5 linked regions of the Cricetulus griseus genome follow. The protein of the gene in region 3 interacts with the protein of the main gene of each other region in a pairwise test. Links are inferred from orthologs where the notes say so. Each region holds a gene or a part of one and is shown on either strand. Other genes may lie near its edges. The genes, in order: Rad23b, Tnks2, Usp25, Syk and Rad23a.

Region 1 (4,757 bases), on a different chromosome or scaffold from region 3:
TACCTTTGTTTCTCATCAGTTTGAAAATATAAAGTGTCAAAAGAAAAAATAAAACACAGTGCTATTACACCAGAATTGTTTGAAATGCATAAAAAAAGGACTTGCCTTTTGGTTTTTGTGAGAGAGAATTTATCATCCCATAATGCCATTGAACTTCAGTAGGAAGGCTGACATTAAACTCAGAGAAGCCTTCCAAACAGTGAGATTGCAAGAACAACCCATTTGTTTGTCTCTCATTAACAGGTTGCCTTCTGTGACTTGTGAATTTTTGTATTTGTACCTGATATTTCTACTGTGCTTATAAAACCACCTTATTTTTTGTTGCTTTTTTAAGTTACCACAAACTTAGTGATATAAACCAATTTGTTACCTGGCTATTTTTGTAGGTCAGAGCTTTTGACACTGTTCTTGTTGACTGATACCAAGGAGTCCATAAGACTTTTTGGAGATTAGGAGAACCTAGTTCCTTATCACTTCCAGATTCCAGAAGCTTGCAGACCCTTTCTCCATCTGCAGAGAGAGAGACAACAACAAAGTTACATTCCTCCTTTTGTAACCCTCTTTCTGTCACTCTGTTTTTAAGGATTGTTTTTGATGGCATCAGGCCCACTTCCCTTTGTCACATAATCTATATATTACAGGATCTCGCTGGGGATTAGAACATGAGTATTTTTGGGGGAGGGCATTCTGCCTACTTGAATAAATGTTGACACGGTAGTATATGAAACATAGATATCTTATAGTCAAGAAGTATGGAGAGAATGTTTCTTGAATGTTCATGTACTTATTCCTTATCCCCAACACACCTATTTAGTGACAGGTCAATCTTACGAGAATATGGTAACTGAGATCATGTCAATGGGCTATGAACGAGAGCAAGTAATTGCAGCCCTGAGAGCCAGTTTCAACAACCCTGACAGAGCTGTGGAATATCTTCTAATGGTGAGAAGTGTATTTTACTTTTCATTCTCCTTAATTTCAAACTCTTTCAAGAAATTTTGGTTTTAAAAGATGAGTTAACAGTTCAGTGTTGACTACTATATGCTAGATAGTTTGCGCCCCCCAGGGTTAACATTTTGTGTTGATAAACTGTAACCTTTTGGAAAAGATTCTGAAATGATTTTAATTAGAAAATGCCATGATGGGCCGGGCGTTGGTCGAGACCAGCCTGGTCTCCAGAGGAGTGCCAGGATAGGCACCAAAGCTACACAGAGAAACCCTGTCTCGAAAAACCAAAAAAAAAAAAAAAAGAAAGAAAAGAAAAGAAAATGCCATGACGGTGAGTTACAAAGTGGTTCTTTAGAATAGTGGCTTACACACAGTGAAGCTCTGGAGCCCTAGGGTGTCTTTCTAATGGAATAGTCTGACTTTATAGTGGATTTTAGTTGCTCATATAATCTATTAGGAATTATTTAGAGCAAAATTTTAGTTGTCCTCTGTGAGGAAGCAGCATTAGCATTTTGTTTGAGAATTTGATGGAAGGCTTAGCCTTCAGGGACCTCCGCATCACAAGCAGACGCTTTCAGGGCCTGCAGTGTATGTGCACCATTAGTCACTGCTCACTGCCTGTCTTTCCTAAAGCGAGTCTGCCTCGTGTTTAGTAGGAAATGGACTTATCACCATCTCTTAAAGTCTGAGAATTTGGTGGATTTCTAAATAGGTATAACTGCCATTTGTCTAAATGTTGTACATCAAAATAGAAACTCTGAGGGCACTTTTAAACTGTAATAATTTCTTCTTTTTTTTTTTTTTTTTTTTTCTCGAGACAGGGTTTCTCTGTGTAGCTTTTGGAGCCTATCCTGACACTCAAGACCAGGCTGGCCTCGAACTCACCAAGATCCATCTGCTTCTGCCTCCCGAGTGCTGGGAGTGCGCCACCAATGCCAGGCTAAACTGTAATAATTTCAAGAGAAATTATTGAAACATACAAAAAGCATCATTTGGAATTTAAATGATTGAAATATATTTCATGCCCATTTTGTTAATTTTGAAAGATTTTCTGTGTGGCACTTTCTAGATGATATTTGCTCAGAAACATGAGTCAGTAGATGAGACTTTCTTGCTTGGCCAGCAGTATTCACTCATTCAACTCCACACCCTACCACAAAGAGTCATTCAGAACTGTTGTCCTCTTATCCCAAATGCTCCTAATGTTATAAATACAGCTCTTTGTGTCACTGACTGATGATTTATGAAAGTCCCTGCAGTCAAAAGCCATTTGGAACCCCATGATGAGTGAATATCTTAGTTAAATTTGTAGGGTTTAATTAGACATGGATGTGGTTGTTATTGCACAGTACATCTATCACCGTGGAAAGACCTGTTGAACAGTACTGCCTTACACTACATACAGCATTGAGTTCTACATGTATCTCACACATAGACAGTGATGTTCTGTAAGCCACAACTGTTTTTGCTGTGTATAATATTTAGCCTGTGTGTTTTTGAGTTGTCTTAAAGCTTGAAAATTGTGTTGCAGGGAATCCCTGGAGATAGAGAAAGTCAGGCTGTGGTTGATCCTCCTCCCCAGGCAGTGAGTACTGGAACTCCTCAGTCTCCAGCAGTGGCAGCAGCTGCAGCCACCACAACAGCAACAACAACAAGTAGTGCTGGAGGTAAAGTTACTATTTCTGATGGTGAATCTAAATTCGTTTAATTTGAAGTACTCGAGTGGTAACATTCATTCCCAGAGCGTTTGGATAAGTCTTGCGTTGTGTCTTCCCTCATAGTAGTATGGTAGTGCACATCAGTGTTACTGTGTTGTCAGCTTACTCCACTAGCTGATACTAAGAAAAAATGTTTCATAGTTTGAACTCAGTATTCATTTTGAATGGACAGCTCACTTTTCTAAGAATGCATAATTTTAGGCAGTGTGTGTGGTGCAAGCCTTTAATCCTAGCACCAGGAGGCAGGCAGATCTCTGAGTTTGAGGGAACTTAGTCTACACAGTAGAGTTCCTGGAGAACTGGGGTACATAGAGATTCCCTGTCTCAAAAGGAAAAGGGAAGAGATAGTACAATTTTAAAGCCACCAAAACCTTAGTAGATAGACTGCTAATTTTGAAAAGGCTGTGTTTTGATAATTTCTTGCTCTCATTTTGGCAGTCAGTTGGGGGGTCTGTGTTTTATAGTGGAAAGAGGAGGCACAGCTCTAGCTCAGATTTTAGTATTTCCAACCATCACCTACTAGGTAGCTTAATCTCTAAGTCTCACTTTAATATTACACATAATGCAGAAATAAATACTCATGTAACACATACATACATAAATACATACACACACATGCATGTATGTATGCTTCTTGTGAGCAACTACAATAACATAACCTTTTGTTTTGAAGTAGAACACCAGTTTCTTATGTTTTCTGTAATAGTTCACAGGGCATTGTGGATAAGTTTATCTCTCAGTGTTCTGCCTTTGCTACCAGTATAACTTCTACAGAGTAAAGTAGCACATTGGGGTTTATAGAGTTTGTGACTGTGCCAGAGAACAGAAGTGTTTTCTGTCTGAATGTGTGGCTTCACTACCTCTTTGTTATATGTATTTACCATTTTTTGCTTTAAAATGTTTGCATCTATTTCAGGCCACCCCCTTGAATTTTTACGGAATCAGCCTCAGTTTCAACAGATGCGACAAATTATCCAGCAGAATCCTTCCCTGCTTCCAGCTTTGCTACAGCAGATAGGTCGGGAGAATCCTCAGTTGCTGCAGGTAATGATCCATGTTAACTTGGAAAAGGAGTTGGAATGTTGTTGTACTATGGTTAAACCCAGAGCCTATGTTTTAGATAGGCACTGAAGAACAAGTTGGAATATAGGTTGAATCAAGTTTAATTTGCTCAACTAAATTTGGGAAATGTTTTTATTTCTTCTTTCAGGTTCCTGAGACACAATAACATATTAGAGAAGCTGGCAGGGTGTTTAGCTTTTGTAAATCACTTTTCATAGGCTTACTACTAGTGAGATATACTACCTTTTAGAAAATCTACCTATGGACATATTTCATGCTCAGACCAGGAAGTATTTCAGTTTTGTATACAGAATGGTCTGCTAGTGTGGAAAATAAATTATACATAAACAGGGGCCCTCAGTAGGATTTTTGTTTTGTTTTGTTTTGAGTGGAGTTCTCTTTTCCTGGGGTGTGGGTCAAGACAGGGTTTCTCTGTGGCTTTGGAGGGTGTCCTGGAACTGGCTCTTGTAGACCAGGCTTGGTCTCGAACTCACAGAGATCCTTCTGCCTCTGCCTCCCAAGTGCTGGGATTTAAGCTGTGGGCCACCACCACCTGGCTGGAGTTTTTCTTTTTCTTTTTTTCTTTTTTCTTTTAAGATTTATTTATTGTGTATAATGTTCTGAATGCATATATGCCTGCAGGCCAGAAAAGGGTACCAGATCTCATTACAGATGGTTGTGAGCCACCATGTGGGTGCTGGGTATTGAACTTCAGGACCATCTCTAAGAGCAGCCAGTGCCTTAACCTCTGAGCCTCCTGTGAGTGGAGTAATTTTTTAAGTTTGCATTCTCTCCATTTACCTCTCTGAACGATTGTGCTTCATTAATAATCATCTAAGAAAACACTTTCCTTTCCTCACCTCCCCCCCTTTCTGGCTTCTTTTAGATAGGACTGGCCCAAAACTCAAAATTGTCAAGCCTCAGACTCACAGTGATCCTTCTGCCTCAGCCTCCCAAGTGTTGGAATTAAAGTGTGAATGCTATGGCTGCTTAGGTTTTTCTTATTTTTACTTAGGATTCTTTCTTCCT
Region 2 (4,757 bases), on a different chromosome or scaffold from region 3:
CAAAAAACCAAAAATTTAAAAAAAAAAAAAAAAAAAAAAAAAAGGAAAGATGCAGCTAGGTATATTGGTGCACTCCTTAAAACCCAGCACCTGGGAGTTAGAGGCAGGTGAGTTTTTATGAGTTCAAGGCCAGCCTGGTCCTCAAAAGTGTATTTCCAGAAAGGTAGCCAAGGCTGCATAGTTGAGATCCTGTTTTTAAAAAACAGAAAAATACCTCAGCACTCAGGAGGTACAGGCAGGTGGTTCTCTGTGAGTTCAAGGCCAGCTTGGTCTCCAGAATGAGTTCTAGGACAGCCAGGGCTGTTACACAGAGAAACTGTGTCTCCAAAAAAGGAAAAATGCAACTATGCAATGTGTGACAATTCAGTCAATGATGGGCTACATTTTTGGCAGTGGTTCCATAAAATTATAATGTAAGGACTATGGATATAATATCTCAGTTGGTAGAACCTGGCTAGCGTTTACAAGGCCCTGGGATTTATTCCCAGCACCACATGGACAGACTTAGTAGTACATACTTACATTCTAATTATGTAGGAAGAAAGAGGCAGGAAGATCAGTGGTCAAGGCCAGCTTCAACTACAGAATAAGTTTCAGAAGACCAGCCTGTGTGCTGCATAAGACTATCTAAAATGATAATTATATAGCTGAAAACTTACTATAGTTTTTCTGTTCTTTGATGCATACTTACGAATGTGTTATAGCTGCCTATGGTATTTAAACAGTAATGACAATCAGGTGAGTTAATATGAGATTATTTTCTTTGCTCTGGTTATTTTCTCAATGACAAAATACCCACTAATATCCCCCGCCTTTTTTTTTCCCTCATGCCTAGCATGGTGCAGACCCTACAAAGAAAAACCGAGATGGTAATACTCCTCTGGACCTTGTTAAAGATGGAGACACAGATATCCAAGATCTACTTAGAGGTGATGCAGCTTTGCTAGATGCTGCCAAGAAGGGTTGTTTAGCCAGAGTGAAGAAATTGTCTTCTCCTGATAATGTAAATTGCCGTGATACCCAAGGTCGACATTCTACACCTTTACATTTGGCAGGTAATGAGTGAATCTAGATTTAGCCTGGTGACATCTAAGATTATTTTATCCCTTTCATCATGTAGGTTCCAGGAATCAAACTCAGGTTGTTAGGCTTGGCATCTGTGCCTTTCCCTGCTGAGCTATCTTACCAGCCCTAAGATTCATTTTTACTCTTGAGTAAAATATTTCCTCTAAGTAAACTTGAAAGATGCAAGTCAAATTATCTACCAGAGCTTTCATCCTGTCCTAGTATGTGTGTTTGTACAGAGCCATTGTGTTTATACATGAAGCTGTTGCCAAATTTCACTTCCTTTGTCACTGTTTTACATTCAGTAAAAACAGTTGCCAACTCTGGTGGTGCAAGCTTTTAATTCCTGCAGAAGCAAGCAGGCAGATCTGTGTGAGTTTGAGGCCAGCCTGGTCTACATAGTGAGTTCCAGGACAGCCACAGCTACATAGTGAGACCAGTAAGAACAGTTGAAATAGGCTCTGCCAATCACTTTAAACTTTGGAATCCTTTCTTTGAGGTCACTGCATTGATTCATGTTTGAACAGAGTTATGAAAAACTTGCCTGTATAAACCAGCCTTCTTCATAGAAGACTATAAAGTTTTCATTTTCTAATGAAAGCTAAGTGTAAGCCCGGGAAAAAGAATCAATGTCTTCCCCTTATAGGTTCTGGGGATCAAATTTAGATGATCAGGCCTGTCAGCAAGTGAAGTGCACCAGCTCCCCAGTAATGACCCAAAGACTCACTAATTAATTCTGAAAGCTAGGCCTTACTTGAGGCTTGTTCCCAACTAGCTCTCATAACTTAACTAACCATTTATGTTGCTCTGCAGTCTTGTTACCTCTCCTCCATGCTGTGTTTCGTTCCCATCCCTGCTTCACATCCCCAGCACCTCCCGCTTACCAGTCTCTGCCTGAGTTCCTGTCTCTGCCCAGAAGTCCTGCCTAGCTATTGGCCATTCAGCAGGTGTGCCTTGACAGAGAAACATCTTCACAGCGTACAAAAAGATTATTTTACAACATGGGTGTTTTGCCTGCGTGGATGTCTGTGTACCACATGTGTGCCGGATACCTGGTGGAGGTCAGGGCATTGGATCCCCTAGAACTGCAGTTAGTTACAAATGCTTACGAGCTGCCTTGTGGATGCTGGGAACCAAATCTAGGTCCTTTGCAAGAACAAGTGCTCTTAACTGCTGAACCATTTCTCCAGCTCTTATCTAGAACATTTGACATTACTAGTTTTTTTTTTTTAAGATTATTTTATGTATATGAGTTCTCTATCAACTTTATGCCAAAAGAGGACATCAAATCCCACTATAGATGGTTGTGAGCCACCAAGTTGTTGCTAAGAATTGAACTCAGGACCTCTGGAAGAGGAACCAGTGCTATTAACAGCTGAGCTATCTCTCTAGTCCTTGACATTACTATTTTAAGTCCACATTGTCTTCGTAAGTTGCAAATACAAATAGATTGGTTTTTGTTTTTTTGTTGTTTATGTTTTTTGTTTCTTTGTTTTTTTTTTTTTTTTTTTTTTTTTTTTGAGACAGGGTTACTCTGTGTACCCTGGCTGTCTTGGAACTATCTCTGTAGGCCAGGCTAGCCTCAAACTCAGAACCCACCAGCTTCTGCCTCCTGAGTGCTGGGATTTAAAGTGTATGCCACCACTGCCTGTTGTTGCAAATACATTTTAAGCACAGAATGTGTCTACTCACTTCTAATAGTGTTAATACTAAACCTTGGGCTGTGAAGAAACTCTGTCATGAAATGTTTGCCATGCAAGCATGGGAACTTGAGTTCACACTCCTGCACTGAGGGGCAAAGATAGAGCATCTCTGCCTCTTGATGGCTACCTGACTAGCTGAATGAGTGGGCTCCATTCTCAGTGAGAGACTGTGCCTCAAATAGTCAAGTGGAGGATCTGTGAGGTGCCTCAGTGGGTAAAGGCATTTATCAGAGAAGCCTGACAAACTGAATTCCATGTCTGGGACCCACAAAGTAAAAGGGAGAGAGTCAACTCCCTCAAGTTTTCTGACCTGTGATGTATACTATAAGTATGCACAGACAATGAGTAATATATGGGGGGGGTGTGCTTGTTTTTTGTTGTTGTTGTGGGGTTTTTTTGTTTTTTGTTTTTAAAGATTTTATTTATTATGTATACAACATTCTGCTTCATGTACATCTACACACCAGAAGAGGACACCAGATCTTATAACGTATGGCTGTGAGCCACCATGTGGTTGCTGGGAATTGAACTCAGGACCTCTGGAAGAGCAGTCAGTGCTCTTAACCTCTGAGCCATCTCTCCAGCCCTGTTGTTGTTGTTTTTAAGTAGAAAACTGCTGGGCCTGGCGAGGCAGGCCTTTAATCACAGTGCTTGGGAGGCAAAAGGAGATGGATCTCTGAGTTGCAGGACAGCCTGATCTAAAGAGTTCTGGAAGACCACATAGAGAAGCCATGTCTTAGGCGACAGATGCAGAGAGCAATAGGGGAAAATACTGTATTTACCTCTGGCGTCTACCTTCACCCATGTATATACACAAATACTACACCTATGACATTCTTAATGCTTTAAATCTTTCTAAGGGATGGCTGATATGTGCACTGATAGACAAAACATTTAAAGCCATTATCATTGTTTTTATATTGGGAAAAATGACATTTACTTCATCTATGATTATGTGTCTAGAGATACTTTGCCATAAGAGAATTCTGAGCTAACTGATAAGATACAGGTTATGTCGTGCTTCAGAGTACTAAATGAGCTTTCTTAATAGTTCTGAGGTTGCTCTACTATATGTGTCCTAAGCACTCTCCTTAGGCTGAGGCATTTCTACAGACTCCTGAGGAAGAATGCCTCCTGTTGTGCAGCTAGATGATTGGGTGCCTGTGAATTTTAGCCCTTGGGATCACACGCCTGAGCTTAGGTTGTTGTATGTAACAGCCATGAAGGTAGGGCCTTTGGTGGGGAAGAAACTGCTCATGGAAGCTGTAGTGTGGCCATTTGAGACACACAGTTTACCCTTTAGTCCATTCATCTTTCCTTGCAAGTGTTCATTGCCACGAGTCATTGGTCTGGTTTAAGGCCTCTGGTTTCTGACTCACCACCCATAATGGGCTCTCTTTGGGCTCCTCTTGGATATTTTGTTGTTGTCCTGTGTCCTAGAGATCCTGCTGTTTTGGAGGTAGGGGAGTTTTAAATGGATAGAGGAAAATCTTTCTATAATTTGCTGGGTCTCCAAAACCAAAAGCTTCTAAAATTTTAGACCAATTGGGTATTTCTTTCCCACAAGACAAAATACTAATCATTTCAGATTTACATAAAATTTAGAAATATCTATTTAAAAACATATAGCTATATGGGTAACACATGATTTTTCTACATTTATAACTGAAAGCAATGTTACTTCTTTCCTGCATTAGCTGGTTACAATAATTTGGAAGTCGCAGAGTACTTATTGCAACATGGAGCTGATGTGAATGCCCAAGACAAAGGAGGACTCATCCCTTTACATAACGCAGCATCATACGGGGTAAGTTCTTCTCAGTTTCCTTTCCAAATTCATGCAGCTTTTCAAAGTGGGTATCAGTGTCACAGTTCACATGGAATCTGCTGTGACTTGTTTCACAAAGAACTAAATAAGAAGTTAGATAACAGAAGTTTTAGTTCTTAATCTGTTACAGGCATGCTGTTTGACATGGCAATATATTTGTC
Region 3 (5,557 bases):
ATTAGAATTTGTGCAACTGTCAGGTACACAAAGTTTGAAGATGAGTCAGTCCTCATTATAAGTTTTTATATTAATTTATCTTAATTCTCAAGTTTCTGTTCTCCATTTTTTACAACTGCAAGCTTTCTAAAAAGAAACATATGCATTAACCTGAAATTTTTACCTCAAAACCACATAGTTAGACAGTTGACAATGTGCTAAAAAAGAAAACATGGAGTAAGAAACCTTTAGAAATGAGCTGGATATGAATGCTGCAAATGGGTCCTCAAACTTTTCATCTATTTAGCACTAGGGATTTTAAAAACTAATGCAAAAGAATGGAACTCTGAGGGTCATTGTACTGCCAAAGTCTTGAAATTAAAGTATAACATCTGTCAATAGTTCTAAAAAACACTTTAATAGTTTAACATTAATTCTAACTTTTTTTGGTATAGCCATACTAAAGGTCAAACATAGAGCCTTGTGCTTCCGTGCTCTCTAGGGTTGAGATGTATCTTTAGTCTCAGTTACATCCATAATTTCAAATGGAAGGATTTTCTAAGGCTGTCTATTCTATAGAGAACCATGAAGCTGCTCTGCAAACGAAGAGAAGCCGAACTGTGGTCCCCAACTGTGGAGAAGCAGCATAGCTCAAGTTTATTCTCAGACAGACCCACGCTCTCTGGGTCTCAACACCCTCAGAGATAATCCATTTGTGGAATTGTTGCATTATCCCTAAAATTCTTTGCTTCTAACCATTTCACAACTTTTATATTCTAGCAAGGGTGTTGGATCATTAATGAAGTAAAAATATAATTTATCAACCTAATGTAACAAACAAAAGGAGTCAAGGGAAAAATATCACAAAAGAAGGTTGAAGACACCCAAAAGACAGAAAACATGGGTAAAAGGAAAAAGAGTTATTACAAGGCCTTTTCCAGTTACTATGATTGTACAAAATCTGGTATTTCATGGATCCTTTACCAAGCTTGCTTTCCTTGCCATGGATTAAATTATATCCCGATTTGTATGTGTATTGTGTTATTGTTTTTGCCACCAATACAATGTCTCTGGTCCGCACCCTCACTTCTGTCCCTCGGTTAGCGGGTGCAGTTGAAGACATTTTATTGTCTTCAGATTGCTTTCTCGTTGTTAGGCTTTTCTTACAGTACCGTTTACAGTAGAATACTCCACACATGGTTGTTAATCGTTTGTTTAATTTGGCAACAGGAATAGTAGAATTATGCACCATCTAGGCAGTGATTCTTTCATAATGTTGTTTGCCTTATGTCCATTTATATTCTCTTCAGTAAATAAACCTTAAATCCCCAGAGCCTAGCAGTGACTGGCACACATTCCAGGACATGGAATAGACACGGAATGTCAATACTGATGTATGTAACGATTAGCTAAGGAGACAACCCAGAACTTCTAACAGCCCTCTGCTTATTTGACTTTTTTTTCTTTTTCTTTTTTTCTCTTCCAGCAAGTTCATTGCTTGTGAAATTCCTCGAAAGGCGTGGGTGACATAGGAAGTAGCTGGAGTTCTGGGCCCAGCCGGGTTTGGGGACCTTAGAGGCAGGGAGGGACATTGTTTATTTTGGAAACATTGTGACAGAGGGCGAGCAGGTAAACCAACTCAGCCTTGGGGGTCAGCGCGTTAGAGCTCAGGGAAAGCCAGTCACCTGCTGGATGGATGGGCGGTTCCGGAGGCCGGCCCGTGCGGTGGGCGGGGCCTAGGCGGCAGGCGGGGCCCTCTAGTGGGCGGGGCAGCGTCGGGGCCCCACCCTCAGCCCCCGCAGGTCACAATGTAGGGTTAGGACGGGTGGGGCGGGGCCGCGTGGGGGTGGGGCCGGCGGGCGGGCGGGGCGGTGACGGCGGCAGGGGCGGGCGGGAGGCGGAGTCGCGGCGGCTGGAGGACAGCGCCATTCTGGCCGGCCGCTCCCTCCGTCCGCTCGCCAGCGGCCCGCAGTGGTCCCCGGAGCCCTCAGGCGAAGCCGAGCGCGAACGCGTGACGCGGCCCCGCTTGCTCCCGCTCGCTCGCTCGCTCGCGCTTTCCCTCGCCTGCGCCCATGGGCCGGGCCGCGCGGCGAGCGGCGCTGAGGAGGGGCCGCGGAGGACCTGAGGCGGCCGCGGTGGCGCTCTCCGGCGGCGTCTCGCCGCCGCCGCCACCGCCATCGCCTTCGCGCCCGGCTGGCGGGGACGCCGTCCTCCGGGGCTGTCCGCGCCGCTGCCCCCGGCCCGGCAGAGCACGGCAGGCGGGATCGCCGCGGGGGCCATGACCGTGGAGCAGAATGTGCTGCAGCAGAGCACGGCGCAGAAGGTGAGCCGCCGCTCCTCCTCCTCGACGGGCCGCGTGGCCTCCCCGCCCGGCTCGGCCATCCCGGGGCGTCGTGCTCGGTCCCGGTCCCGGTCCCGGTCCCGCGGGGCTGCGTGCGGAGCGGGGTGTGTAGCGAGAGGCTTCCCGTGCCCACTCCCTTCTGCAGATTGCTCGCCCATAACCGACGGCGGCCGCGTCCCCAGAGTGACCCCCCACATTCCTTCAGTGCGCTGCCAGGCTTTGTAATTAAACTTTTCCCCCCTTCGCTTCCTTTCCCATTCCCCTTTCTTCCTCAAGAATGTCACTTGTCACCCGCTCTGGACAGTTTCTCTTTCGGAAGTGGTGTTATTCCAGGCCTGCTGGTCTCAAGAAAGAAAGAAAAAAGAAAAAATCCCCCACACCGAGTTACCTGCCGGGTCAGGTGCATCGACCCAGGGTGGACTCTATACAAGTAGAAAGGTTTGGTTGGTTATTACTCTTTTGTTTCTTTCTTTTTTCTCCTGAATATTGAAACTCTCTCTCAGGACAGGAGACCTTCATGGCTGTTATTGAAATCTTTTGTCCCCTAAGTTTGACCTTGCTCCCGTGCGTTCACCCTTTTCTCTCGAATCAGCTAGACACTTACTTAGGGGGATCGTCACATCTTGCTTTCAGAATAGCAACTTGCTATTCTAGATTTTGCTTGAAGAATTTTAAATGCTCCATCATAGCCTGCTCCGCGCCCGGAAGAGTAGTTGGTCATGACTTGTTCTGCCTCTCACCGCCCCCCCCCCTTAGTGCTGTGAAGAGAGCAGTTTGAGCACAAGGGAAACATTGGCTTAGTCGTATTCGAATTGTAGGGGCAATTAGGTTTACAGTGAACAGCCAAAGCCGCCTTTGGCTCATCTGTGTGAGTAATGGATGCCACACCCTGCTGTAGTTTTGACTCACCATACTTGCAGCCTACCTGTGCCTGTCTTTAAAGTAAGGCCGGCTGTATTAAAATAGACAAATATGTACAAACAGCCTGCTCTTTTCTTTTGCACGGAGAATAGTTTTAGATTTTATATTACCTGAGATAATAAAGATGTTGGAGAATTTTGGAAAGCAGCGATAGTGCTTTGTTGTTTCAGGCACTTCTGCTAAAGTTGCCTTTGAAGCCTGTTTTAGTTGACGTTACTTGTAAATTGAGATTATTGCAGACTGTAATGTACTTTGTGGCAAGACAAGTCAAGACAATAATGGATGAAAGAGTTTGCCTTCTAATCCTGTATGTCCTATCTTGAACACTATAATTTTTAGATTTTGATCTTGAGTATGTGCTGGAGTTATGACTGGAAGGTCATGTGATCTCAGGAATACTAGGCAATAGACTCAGTATCGTTTTATTTATATTTGTTTTGCATTTGGAATTTCTTTTTAAATTTTAAATTGGGAAATGTTGCTATTCCTAGCTTCTCTTAAACTTTAAAATGACAATGAATTTATTGTTTCTGGCTTTTGTCATTGTTTTGACTAAGCTGCTTCTTTTCACAGAGTCAGGTAACTATCTTGATGGGTCAGAACTCTGTACATAAAACTGTCGAATCAAGAATCAAATTGCTGGAAGTGATCTTGGTTATTCCCAAAGAGAATATTCTCTAGTTCAATATATTCATGTTATAATGCTGTGTTTTTTTTTTTTTTTTGTTTTTTGCAACACATATTAAGTAGGTTAGATTATTTCATTGACATTGGGGACTGTTTTTAGAGCAACATCATATTGTTTTATACATCCATCATATTTACATTTAATGGTGTTGGTGATTGAACCCAGGGTCTCATGTCTGCTAGTCAAGAACTGTACCAACTGTACTATGTCTGTAGATTTCTAAATGTGTTTCTTTCCCTTGTTAATACACCGTTACTTTGTTATCACCACTAGAACTGGTTCAAACAATATGGTTATAAATACTTGAAATAATCTAGTTCAAAGTTGAAGTCTTAAAACTATGCTAGGAACTAGGAAGTATACGTCACTCTAGGAAGTAGGACATGAACTTCAAATGTAAGAAGAAACAAAAGTGAAACCGATTTCACTTAGTAGCTTCATGGACTGTCAAGAAAAGGAAGGATGTTTGGAGCATACTGCCGTGCTGACAGAATTTTAACCCGTTTTCTCTTCTAAAGAGTATGCTGGTCTGTTGACACATTTTAAGGAAGTGGCTATTAGAGTTGTTGCAATTGTTGTCTGTGTTTTTTTCCTCTTTTACTGTAAAGAACTGTTAAGATTTTTTTTTAAAGCTACCACCCACAAAACTTTAAGTGTTTTGTTTACCTACTAAGTAACTCGTGACAATGCAATAGGAAGAGGCAAGGGGCCTTGTCTTCCCTTTTTGTGTTGTCTGCTTAATTGCTGAAGTTTGCCCAAGCTAGGGAGTTTGGAAATGTTTGAAAAGTGCAGTGGGAGTAGATTTTCTGAGATTGATACATTAGAGGTGAGCATTTGGCAGCACATGGAGTCCAGTTGAACCTGCTGTTATTTCTTTTTGGACCTGTCTGGTCAGCCCTTGTGTTGGATAGTAACCTCCGAGGAGGATCTTTAGATGGCAGAAGAAATTAGATACATAAATTCAAGTTCCACACACAGGTTCCTTAGGGGAGGAGGACTGGGAACCTCCTCCCAGTAAAAAAGGTGCTTCCAGGTGAGCAGGATTCCCCTTACTTGAAAGTATCCTGGTGAGTGAGTCGCCTGCACTGTTGCTCAATAGGGCTTGGACTTGTTCCTGCACGCAGTAGGGCTCAGTAAATGTTTGACAAATGGATTTGTAAGTGAATGGTTCTTAGAAGGGAAGCGAGCACAGTGAATACTTAGCCTCCCAAGAAAGAACTGACATGCAGTCACTGAGAAACAATGAAAGCTTGAAAGAGCATCCAGGCTAGGAAAAGAAGCAGTGGAAGAGAAAGACAGGATGTGGGCTAGGTCTAACTCACCCTTCTGTGACCTTGGGCAACCCATTAAATGTCTCTTAAGTCTTCTTGTAAAGCTTTAAGCTGTGTGTGCACATGAGACACTCCTTCAGATCTGAGTGCTCAGTGGAGCCAAGCAAGCATTTATTTATTTTTATTTTAATGTAGCATGAGGATATGTAGAAGCAAAAATATCCTCTTCAGTTTAAATGATCAAAACAATGAACAGATTATTCAAAAAGCGCTATCAGCGTTCACTCTGTGCATTAAAAACAAAAAGCAGTTGTCAGAGAAAATCTTATTAATTTGCTATAAGAAAAATGTTAATTA
Region 4 (5,278 bases), on a different chromosome or scaffold from region 3:
ATGCTCTCCTTTTAAGAGTAGCCAATGATCTTAGCCATTGAATCATCTCTTCAGCTCCTAAGATAATTCTTTAATATCAGAAGTAAGAGGACAATTCTTGAGCGAGATACAAATGCAGAGAAAAAAACCTGAACTTCTAGGAAGATTAGCCTGGTGCTGATCAATGTGCCTGACCATGAAGAAACCTCATTGATTCTGGGAAAGTTTTACTGGATAGAATGTGGGTGGCTCTTCAAAACCCTGAAGGCCTCTGTGTAGGGACACTGAGTGACCACAAATGCAGGCATTCTCCCAGCACAACCTTGGCAGGCACATCTTTAGAAGAGGCTTACACTCACCAGGATACCCCTTGCTTCTGTGGACTACAGACCCTGCCTAGCTGTACCACTGCCCTGGGACCTTCTGAATTTTGGCTCACACAGGGCCACTGCAGATGCCCAGGCCAGGAACCCAGGATCCTAGCCTTCATGAGCTGAGCTGTACAGGCTGAAGCCCACAGACCCATTTCTGCTCAGATATCTATGCCCAGGTTTGGTGTAAGCAGCTCCCAGGACTTTGCTCCTGAATGTCTGCGTTAGCACACAGTTCCAAGCACAAACAGAAGTCCAAAATCTGGGGGCAGATCGAAGCGAACAAACTGTGCTGTCTTACATTTGTTCCGTGACCACATTGTACACCATGTCTGCCATGTGAAGCAGAATTCAGGCTGAGCAACCCTACTCCAGAAACACTAAAATACTGTGGGAAAAATTACCTTGACGCTAGCTAGGGGCCTGGGACGATGGTCAGTTGGTGAAGTGTTTATAACACACGATGTCCCAAACTGATCCCAAGAACCCATGTAAAAATCTGGGTGTTGCAGTGAGTGCCTGTAATCTCGGCACAGACCAGAGGAACCCTGGGGGCTGCAGGCAAGTCACTATAGACAAAGCAGCAGGCTCCAGGTTCAGGGAGAGACTGTTTCTCAAAACTGGGAAGGAAGAGCCAGCAAGCTAACTCATTGGGTAAAGATGGCTGCGCCCAAGCCCGATGACCTGGGTTTAATGCTTAGAACCATGTAAAGGTGAAAGAAAGAACTGCCCTCCATGGAGGTTGCACTTCGGCATCTATGCACTCCCCCACCAACATGAACAGACATGATAATAAATGAGAACGAGATACTCGGATGAATAAGGTGGAAAGCAACTGATAAGGCACCAGTGTCCACCTCTGACCTCCACACGCATGTGTATACACTTCACACACTTTTACATATGTGAGCATGCTATCCTACACACACAAGAAATTGCCTAGATATCATAAGCATAAAGTGTTTCTAAAAGGTCAAGGAATTTCTAGTGCAGGCTTGGGCAAGAGCTCGTGACATATCTTTACATATGTGCAAATATTCCTGTATCTGAAAATATCCCCAACCCAAAGCACTTCTGGGCCCACCACGTTGGATAACAAACTCAACCCTCATGTGGCTGAACACATCATCACACTTTATGCTCAGACTAGATAAAACACATGCTGGGTCACAAGTGACACCAACTCTCATTGGCAAATGGGGATGTGTGACACCTTCCTGGGGCCACCTGGGTTCTATTCTTGGGGAAGCTGCTACCCCTAGGTGAGCAGCCCTGAAGTTAGGAAGTAGGGGGAAGACACGATACTCACAGGAATTTCCCATTGGTCTTTGATCCTATGAGGACTGTCTGCTCTGATTCGTCTCTGGAGATGTTGCCATGGAACCAGGGCATCTTCTCGTGGGCAGTGGTGGCAATCAGCTTCTCCAGTTGGGGCTTCTGGCTGATGATGGCTTGTTCCAGAGCTTGGCCCTGCAGAGGATGGAGAGAGAGTGAGCTGGCCAGGTACAGAGAAGTTAGATCTGTGTCCCAAGTTCTATGCAGCAAAACAGGACCAAACTCTACTCTTCCCATCACACTCTTCCCATCACTCATCCTTCTTTTATTCATTCCCTAAAATAAGGGAACCAATAAGATCTTTGTATATTACTTGCATGTCTTCACGTGTATCAATAAATGAATGCATTTTGTAATGAAGGGAAGATTCCTTGAAAAGCCAGACAAGAATTTGCATATGTAGGTCATATACACCTGGAGTCAGAGCATGGATCTGACAAAGACAGCTATATACGAAAGCTAGGTTCTGTGGGAAAACCTAGAGTCATTTCATAATGGGCAAGAAGGCTTGAGATGTGTTTGAGTTCGAGGAAGAGAGGTAGCTCAGCAGGCTAAGTGCTCGCTGCCCATTTCAGCCTCATTCCTGGGACTCACATGGTGGAAGAGAGACTGACTCTAACCAAAGAAAACTTTTCAAAGAAATTGTGGCTGTCATTGGTGGCACACGCCTTTAATCCCAGCACTCGGGAGGCAGAGGCAGGCGGATCTCTGTGAGTTCGAGGCCAGCCTGGTCTCCAGAGTGAGTGCCAAGATAGGCTCCAAAGCTACACAGAGAAACCCTGTCCCAAAAAAACAAAAACAAAAACAAAAAAAAAAAAGTTGTGTTAGAGGCAGGCATCTGTGGCTTTCTGTCTGTCAGGATTCAGCTGTGTCCTCACTCCCATCTTCCCCCCCGCCCCAAACACACACACCTACAGGAAATGCCATCAGAGGAGTCACAGGTGAGCAGCCTGGACCACCTGGAGAAAAGGTGGAAATAAAAACAGTACCATTAATAGTAGAGAGGACTGATTTCCCTATCTTTCTCAGAGAGACTGAAAAAGATCTTCTTGGTAATGAATAGCCAGAGTTTGATTACTGACTACACACACACACACACACACACACACACACACACACACACACACATATATATATATTTGAAAACACAGCCTTCTCACAGAAGGAAAATGGACTGCTGAGGGGAATGTGAAGACTGGGCTCTGACTACATGCTCAGATGGAGTGGGAAACAAAGGCAGTGAGGGGCGTGGCCACACAGGGATCTGGAACATACCAGAAACTCAACCACCATGCTGTCTCAGTCTTCCTGTAAAGGATGCAAAGGATTCTGGGTGATGCTAGGACAGGGCTCCATGGTCTCAGGGAGCAGTGCCCACCAGACTCACCTGAAGGTTCCAGGTCTGTTTCACGTATTCCCTGATGAGGTTCTCCTTCAGGTCTTCAAAGGGTCCAGTCTTGGGTTGTACCCCCGGAGGCCGGTTGAAGGGCTTCTTGAGGAGGCAGATGAGGCCATCAGATTCCTGGGAGTGGTACTGGCAGAGGTCTGCCGGGCTGGCATGGGTCCTGCCACCGGAGATGGCATAGGTACCATTAAGTTCCCTCTCAATGGTGTAGTGGTGCGCCTTCCTGTTGTATGCCACTGACAAAGCGAAACCACCCAGATAATTGCGACTCTGGCGCAGCAGGTAGAGCCCATCTGTCATGCCTCCCTGGACCAGGTAGTCTTCAGCCTCTTCCCTAGTGATGTTGCCAAAAAAGTAGGGCAGGTGGTTGGCGCTGTCTGCCGCATTGCCTGCCATGTCTGCCCCTCTTCAGAATTCCAGCAGGTATGTGGGAAAGCACCTGGGGACAACAAAGATGAGTGAGCCCCAGTGAGGAATCCAACTAGCAAGGGGCACTGACTAAGCCCACCAGGGCCTATTCCACAGGGACATAAGCCTTTCTAGTTTAGAATGGACACACCACCCTATTTCGTGCATGGTCCTGACATCTAATTTCCAGTTTCCCAGAACATCCTGTGGTTAGTTAACCAACTCCATGGCCTTTGACAAAGGTGACCCAACTCACTATTATTTTTTCTAGTGAAAAAAAAAAAGAGTTCTAAGAAGAAACACAGTGTGGTGGTTTGAAAGAAAATGGTCCCCAAAGGGAGTGGCACTATTAGGAGGTTTGCCCTTATTGGAGTGGGTGTGGTTTTGTTGGAGGAAGGGTGTAACTGTGGGGGCAGACTTTGAGATCTCTTTTCTCAAGCTTCCCTCAGTGTGACAGTCAGTTGACTTCCTGTTGCCTGCAAGATGTACACTCTCAGCTCCAGCACCATGTCTGCCTGTACACCGCCATGCTCCCCACCATTGATGATAATGGACCAAAAAACCAAAACCAAAACCAAAACAAAAACAAGCAAACAAACAAACTAAAAAACTAAGACACCTAGAAAAAGAGAAGTGCACAGTAGTCTTTTGACACAGTGCTCAGGGCACACCCTGAATGTGAACAGTGGTCCATGGGACAGAACCAGCAAGGACTCAAAGCCCTCGATGGCCTCAGGAGGCACAGATCACACTAAAAATAAAGACAGATGATATTGATCTATCTACCTACCTACCTATCTAGCTCTTGGTTCTTATATTGCCTTTGCTGACCTTGAACTCATTAGGCAGCTAAGGATAACCTTCAACTTCTGATCCTCCTGCCTCTACTTCCCCAGTGTGAGATCAGAGGCATGAAAACCACACCTAGTTTATGTTAGGCTGGGGTGTAACCAAGGGCTTCATACATGCTGGGAAATACTCTACAACTGAGCCACACCCCAAGCCCATACAGCCAAACAGGAGAATCACACCTCAGAGCACAGGCTTTTGCAGTCAGACGTTTCTATTGGCTGAACATTTATAAGTAATTAAGCCTCCAGGTCAATTATTTGGGAATCGAACACTGGGTATTTGCAAACAGGCAGGCAGGAGAAAAATGTCCATTTACATATGGTGGACAAATGTTTGGCACAAAGTTGCACATAAAACTCAAGAAAGCTTTAAAAAAAAAGGATTCTAAACACACGAAAGAACAGTCAAGCAGGGCTTCTTGGTAGCAGCATTTTCTTAGGTGGGCTCTGTTTGCTGGTGGGAGTAGAGGTGCGGCTCCTTTAAGAGACAGCTTCCTGACTCAGTGTTAGTGGCAAAAACGATGTGGCTCTTTGCAGAGGTCCTGCTACCACTCAGTGGCTGCACGGACCCAGACACTTGCCAGAGTTGGCGTGATAAATGTGGCTCCTGCCAGTACCATCACCAGGAAAACCAAGAGAGAGTTGGTTTTATTTATTGTGTTGTCTTTAGATTTTTTTTTTTTTAACAAAACAGGGTTTCTTTGTGTAGCTTTGGAGCCTGTCCTGAAACTCGCTCTGTATAACAGGCTGAACTCCAACTCACAGAGATCCACCTGCTTCTGCCTCCTGAGTGTTGGGATTAAAGGTGTGCACAACCACCGTGCAGCTTGTCTTTAGATTTTTTGAAAGTTAGTGAGCAAATACTAACACTACTGAGAGACATTTGATTACGAAAGCTGCTAGATTAAACCAACCTATTTTTAAAATAT
Region 5 (3,557 bases), on a different chromosome or scaffold from region 3:
AGGATCACCATGAGTTTGAAACCATATAGTTCAGCCTAACCTATATAGTGAGACTGAAGAAAAACAAAAAGTTCAAATCAAATAATTGCAGATATGCTAGTTAAATCACTGAGGCCTTGTGGGAGGGACCCACTGTCTGGGGCAGGAAGAGGGGGGCTTGCCTCTGGCTAAAACAAGTACCAAGTGAAAATGCCCAGGGGTGGGAGAGCTCAGTGGCACGAACAGCACAGAAAGTCTGGGAAGACCTTTCTCCTGTGGCAGTGGGAAGCCACAGTGGCAAACAAGGCAGTGCTGCTTGGGTCCTTCTCTTTGTGGTGTTGCAAGTAAACCCAGGTCTCAACCTGCTAAGCACAAGCACTCCCTACTGAGTAACACTCAGCCTGTGCAACCTTTATCTTTTTTCTTTCTTTTTTGAAATGATTTCACTATTAGAAGGAGCTGTCTTCAAGTTCAGTGATCCTCCTGCCTCAGTCACCTAAGTGCTGTGCTTACAGGTATGCACTGTCACACTCGGCTCTAGAATCTATTAAATACACTCTACTTGGAAATCCAGAGATTCTGAAGCAACCGTTTGTTTCTGCAGACTTCTGACTATTTTCACATTAAAAAGGGCCTTTTCAGCAATCTAGCCTCTTGGTGGGCAGTTCACCAGGGGCACTGTGCAGAATTAGGAGACATGAGAGGAGGGTGCCAGGATACTGGGAGGGAGAAGTAGCTGCCATAGGGGTAGAAACAGAGAAACAGTCCCCACAAGGCTACCAGAGGCTCAGTGCAGAAATACAACTAGAATCAAACGGGCCTAAGAACTCATCGGTCCAGGAAGTCCTCTCATAGCTCAGATGAGAGGGTTCCAAGGGTTCTGGTGACACAGGTTCAGATAGGTCACCATACAGAGGGTCAAAAGGTGAAGGTCAGATCAAGAAGGCCAGGACTGAGGAGCAGGAAGGGGAGCAAGCACTCAAAAATGCTGTGACCAGAGTCCAGGACCCAGACATACGGCAACCTGCTCTGGGCCTGACCTTCAGCAGGTGGATGTCAATAACATCCATACCTCATGAGAGTCCAACTACACATAACCTTGCCGTCATCAGGGAGCAAGGGGCTGGGCCTGTGCTAGTTCTGCTTTCTCAGAGCAAAGCTATGTCCCTGGGTGATCCCCTAAAGAACTAGAAAAGGTGTCTGTCTCAGTTCCCTCACCCTGGGCCGCACCTGCAAGAGCTGAGGGTTCTCCTGGCCCAGTTGCTGGAGCAGTGCAGGGAGCAAGGCTGGATTCTGCTGGATCACCTGCCGCATGTTCTGGAACTGGGGCTGGTCCCGCAGGAACTCCAGGGGGTTTTCCCCTGCTGGTGGCAGGAAGAGGTGTGGTGAGAGCCCTGCAGGGCTCCTGTGTCTACTGTAGATACCCACATGTGCAAATCCATCCTACTCACCTGCTTCCACGGCCGGCTGTTCTGGTACCTGGCTCTCCTGAACAGAACCATGTTCCGGCTCAGGACTCCCGGGAATTCCCTGTCAGGGATCCTGCTTTTTAGTTCTCTCCAACAGACCCACTTCCCCCTCCCAGTTGATCAGCCTGACAGGAGACAGGAAGGCCTCATGCCTGCCTTCCACACTCTCGTACAGCCTCTTTGAGAAGCCTTCAGTGGCAACACGTGATACCCATGAGCCTATGGGGTAGGTTCCACCTCCATTGCCTGTTGAGGCACCAAGATCTGGAGACTCCCTCACCGTGAGCAAGTATTCCACAGCTCTGTGGGGGTTGTTGTAGCTGGCCCTCAATGCGGCCACAACCCGCTCCCGCTCGTAGCCCATGGACATGATCTCAGTCAGCATCGTCTCATACTCAGAGCCAGTCACTGTGGAGGGAGCAGCAGGGCCTGGGTCACCAGGGGCACAGAAGGGCTGCTCCCAGACCCTCCCATACCCAGACAAGGCTGTCAAAGGCGGATGGCTGGGGCTCCCAGTCGCCTCTGCCCTGAGGACCACCCACCCACCTAATGTGGAAGCTGCGTCTTCCTCTCGCCCGCTGCTACCTGAAGAGGGAACAGAGCTGCAAATTCAAGAGAGAGAAATCGGACCCTGGCTTCTGGTGGCTTGCCCTCCCCACAAGTGCATGGGACCACACTGGAAAGTGCAGAGGACAGGGCACAGGTAAGGCTACTGCCCCTTCCTTACCCAGAGATGGATTCTGGAGATGTTGCAGTAGCTGATTCCTCTGATGGGCTCTTGTCCTCTCTGCTGGCAGGTGGAGGATGGGACATGCCTGATGTTGGAGCCGGAGGAAAGGGTGTGGAGGACTCTGGGGCAGCAGTGGGTGAGACCTCTGGGGGTGCTGGGGTACTTTGGCCAGCCTTGGCCTGTGGCAGCAAGAAAAAGGGATCAGGCAGCAGCATCCCTATCAAGCCTCAACATCCTGCCCCATCACAGCCCCACCCTGCCTATGGCTAATCTCTCCTGGGCACACAAGCCCTTTGCCAGCATCCCAGCTAATCTACCCACCTTGGTCACCATTACAACCACAAAGTTCTTCTCATCTATATGGTATTCCTTGATGGGGACATCATCATTCAAGATCTTGCCAGCATAGATGAGTTTCTGTCCAGCCACAGGGAAAGCATCTCTACCCTTCTCAGCCTCTATCTTCTCCTTCAGCACCTTCACCTGGAATAAGGAGTACAGGCATTAAAAACACGGCTTTAATAGTGTGATGTGTATGTTTACACATAGCACTAACACTCTAAGATACCCTCAGTGAAGTCTAGGCATGGTTGTGCACACATTGAATCCCAGTACTTTGGAACGACAAGTGGATCACTTTGAATTCCAGGCTAGCCAGGACTATATAGTGAAACTGTCTCAGATAAAATAAAGACACCTTTCCTGACCCTTTTACCTTAGGGGAAAAGCTTTGCTCTCAATCATAAGAGACTCCTACTCAATGTGGCCAGTCGACAGCAATCTATTACAGGCCAGACACTTATGCTGCTCGTTGTGTGTGTATGTGCGTGTGATTGTGGTGGCCTAATTGTTCTACAAGAGCTCCATCCCAAACCCTGTTTTACAACAGCCTGTGGAACAGAACAAAACAGAATTCAGTCACTGTTCTCATGGAGAAGACCTTGATGTGAGAAAAAAAGCAAACTTGTATTTCAGATGTCATGTTGTTGAGAAGGGAAACAGTAAAAAGGAAATGAAAGGGTATACCCACTGCTGGCCACAAAAAGTTAACTGTTCTGTAATTATTGAGGAAATCCTTTACCCCCTCCTTTTTTGAAATGGTCTTATTCTGCACTCCAGGCTGGCCTAACTACATAGCTCAGGCTGGTCTGGAACTTAAAACAATCCCCATCTTGGCCTCAGTGTTCAGGGATTATAGACATGACCACTATGCCTAGACTTCACTAAGGGTATAGCAGTGGCTTCATAGTATATTTGAGAAGATTCAGGGGAGGTGGCTCAAACAATAGTATCACCTACTTGGGAGGCTAAGGCAATACCTATCACTTGGGCCCAGAAATTCAAAGCAGCACTGGACAACAAAACAAGACCTCACTCTC

Evidence for each region.
Region 1: the proteins of Usp25 (region 3) and Rad23b interact in binary tests that used the Homo sapiens proteins (3 or more experiments, as listed by UniProt). The link is inferred for Cricetulus griseus from reciprocal best matches to the Homo sapiens genes USP25 and RAD23B.
Region 2: the proteins of Usp25 (region 3) and Tnks2 interact in a two-hybrid assay, tested with the Homo sapiens proteins (2 studies listed by BioGRID and IntAct). The link is inferred for Cricetulus griseus from reciprocal best matches to the Homo sapiens genes USP25 and TNKS2.
Region 4: the proteins of Usp25 (region 3) and Syk interact in binary tests that used the Homo sapiens proteins (3 or more experiments, as listed by UniProt). The link is inferred for Cricetulus griseus from reciprocal best matches to the Homo sapiens genes USP25 and SYK.
Region 5: the proteins of Usp25 (region 3) and Rad23a interact in binary tests that used the Homo sapiens proteins (3 or more experiments, as listed by UniProt). The link is inferred for Cricetulus griseus from reciprocal best matches to the Homo sapiens genes USP25 and RAD23A.

The regions. Positions count from the first base shown.
Region 1 is NC_048595.1:88,474,598-88,479,354, reverse strand, and holds part of Rad23b (UV excision repair protein RAD23 homolog B), read left to right. Parts: intron 1-814; coding exon 815-942; intron 943-2,479; coding exon 2,480-2,615; intron 2,616-3,582; coding exon 3,583-3,710; intron 3,711-4,757. UniProt on the Homo sapiens protein: Multiubiquitin chain receptor involved in modulation of proteasomal degradation. Binds to polyubiquitin chains.
Region 2 is NC_048596.1:24,908,421-24,913,177, reverse strand, and holds part of Tnks2 (poly [ADP-ribose] polymerase tankyrase-2), read left to right. Parts: intron 1-835; coding exon 836-1,055; intron 1,056-4,465; coding exon 4,466-4,575; intron 4,576-4,757. UniProt on the Homo sapiens protein: Poly-ADP-ribosyltransferase involved in various processes such as Wnt signaling pathway, telomere length and vesicle trafficking.
Region 3 is NC_048597.1:18,264,888-18,270,444, reverse strand, and holds the start of Usp25 (ubiquitin carboxyl-terminal hydrolase 25), read left to right. Parts: upstream 1-2,143; 5' UTR 2,144-2,257; coding exon 2,258-2,302; intron 2,303-5,557. UniProt on the Homo sapiens protein: Deubiquitinating enzyme that hydrolyzes ubiquitin moieties conjugated to substrates and thus, functions in various biological processes including inflammation and immune response.
Region 4 is NC_048596.1:271,533,685-271,538,962, reverse strand, and holds the start of Syk (tyrosine-protein kinase SYK), read right to left. Parts: upstream 3,487-5,278; coding exon 3,073-3,486; intron 1,821-3,072; coding exon 1,660-1,820; intron 1-1,659. UniProt on the Homo sapiens protein: Non-receptor tyrosine kinase which mediates signal transduction downstream of a variety of transmembrane receptors including classical immunoreceptors like the B-cell receptor (BCR).
Region 5 is NC_048596.1:159,532,805-159,536,361, reverse strand, and holds part of Rad23a (UV excision repair protein RAD23 homolog A), read right to left. Parts: intron 2,662-3,557; coding exon 2,500-2,661; intron 2,358-2,499; coding exon 2,176-2,357; intron 2,051-2,175; coding exon 1,995-2,050; intron 1,857-1,994; coding exon 1,729-1,856; intron 1,510-1,728; coding exon 1,431-1,509; intron 1,344-1,430; coding exon 1,210-1,343; intron 1-1,209. UniProt on the Homo sapiens protein: Multiubiquitin chain receptor involved in modulation of proteasomal degradation. Binds to 'Lys-48'-linked polyubiquitin chains in a length-dependent manner and with a lower affinity to 'Lys-63'-linked polyubiquitin chains.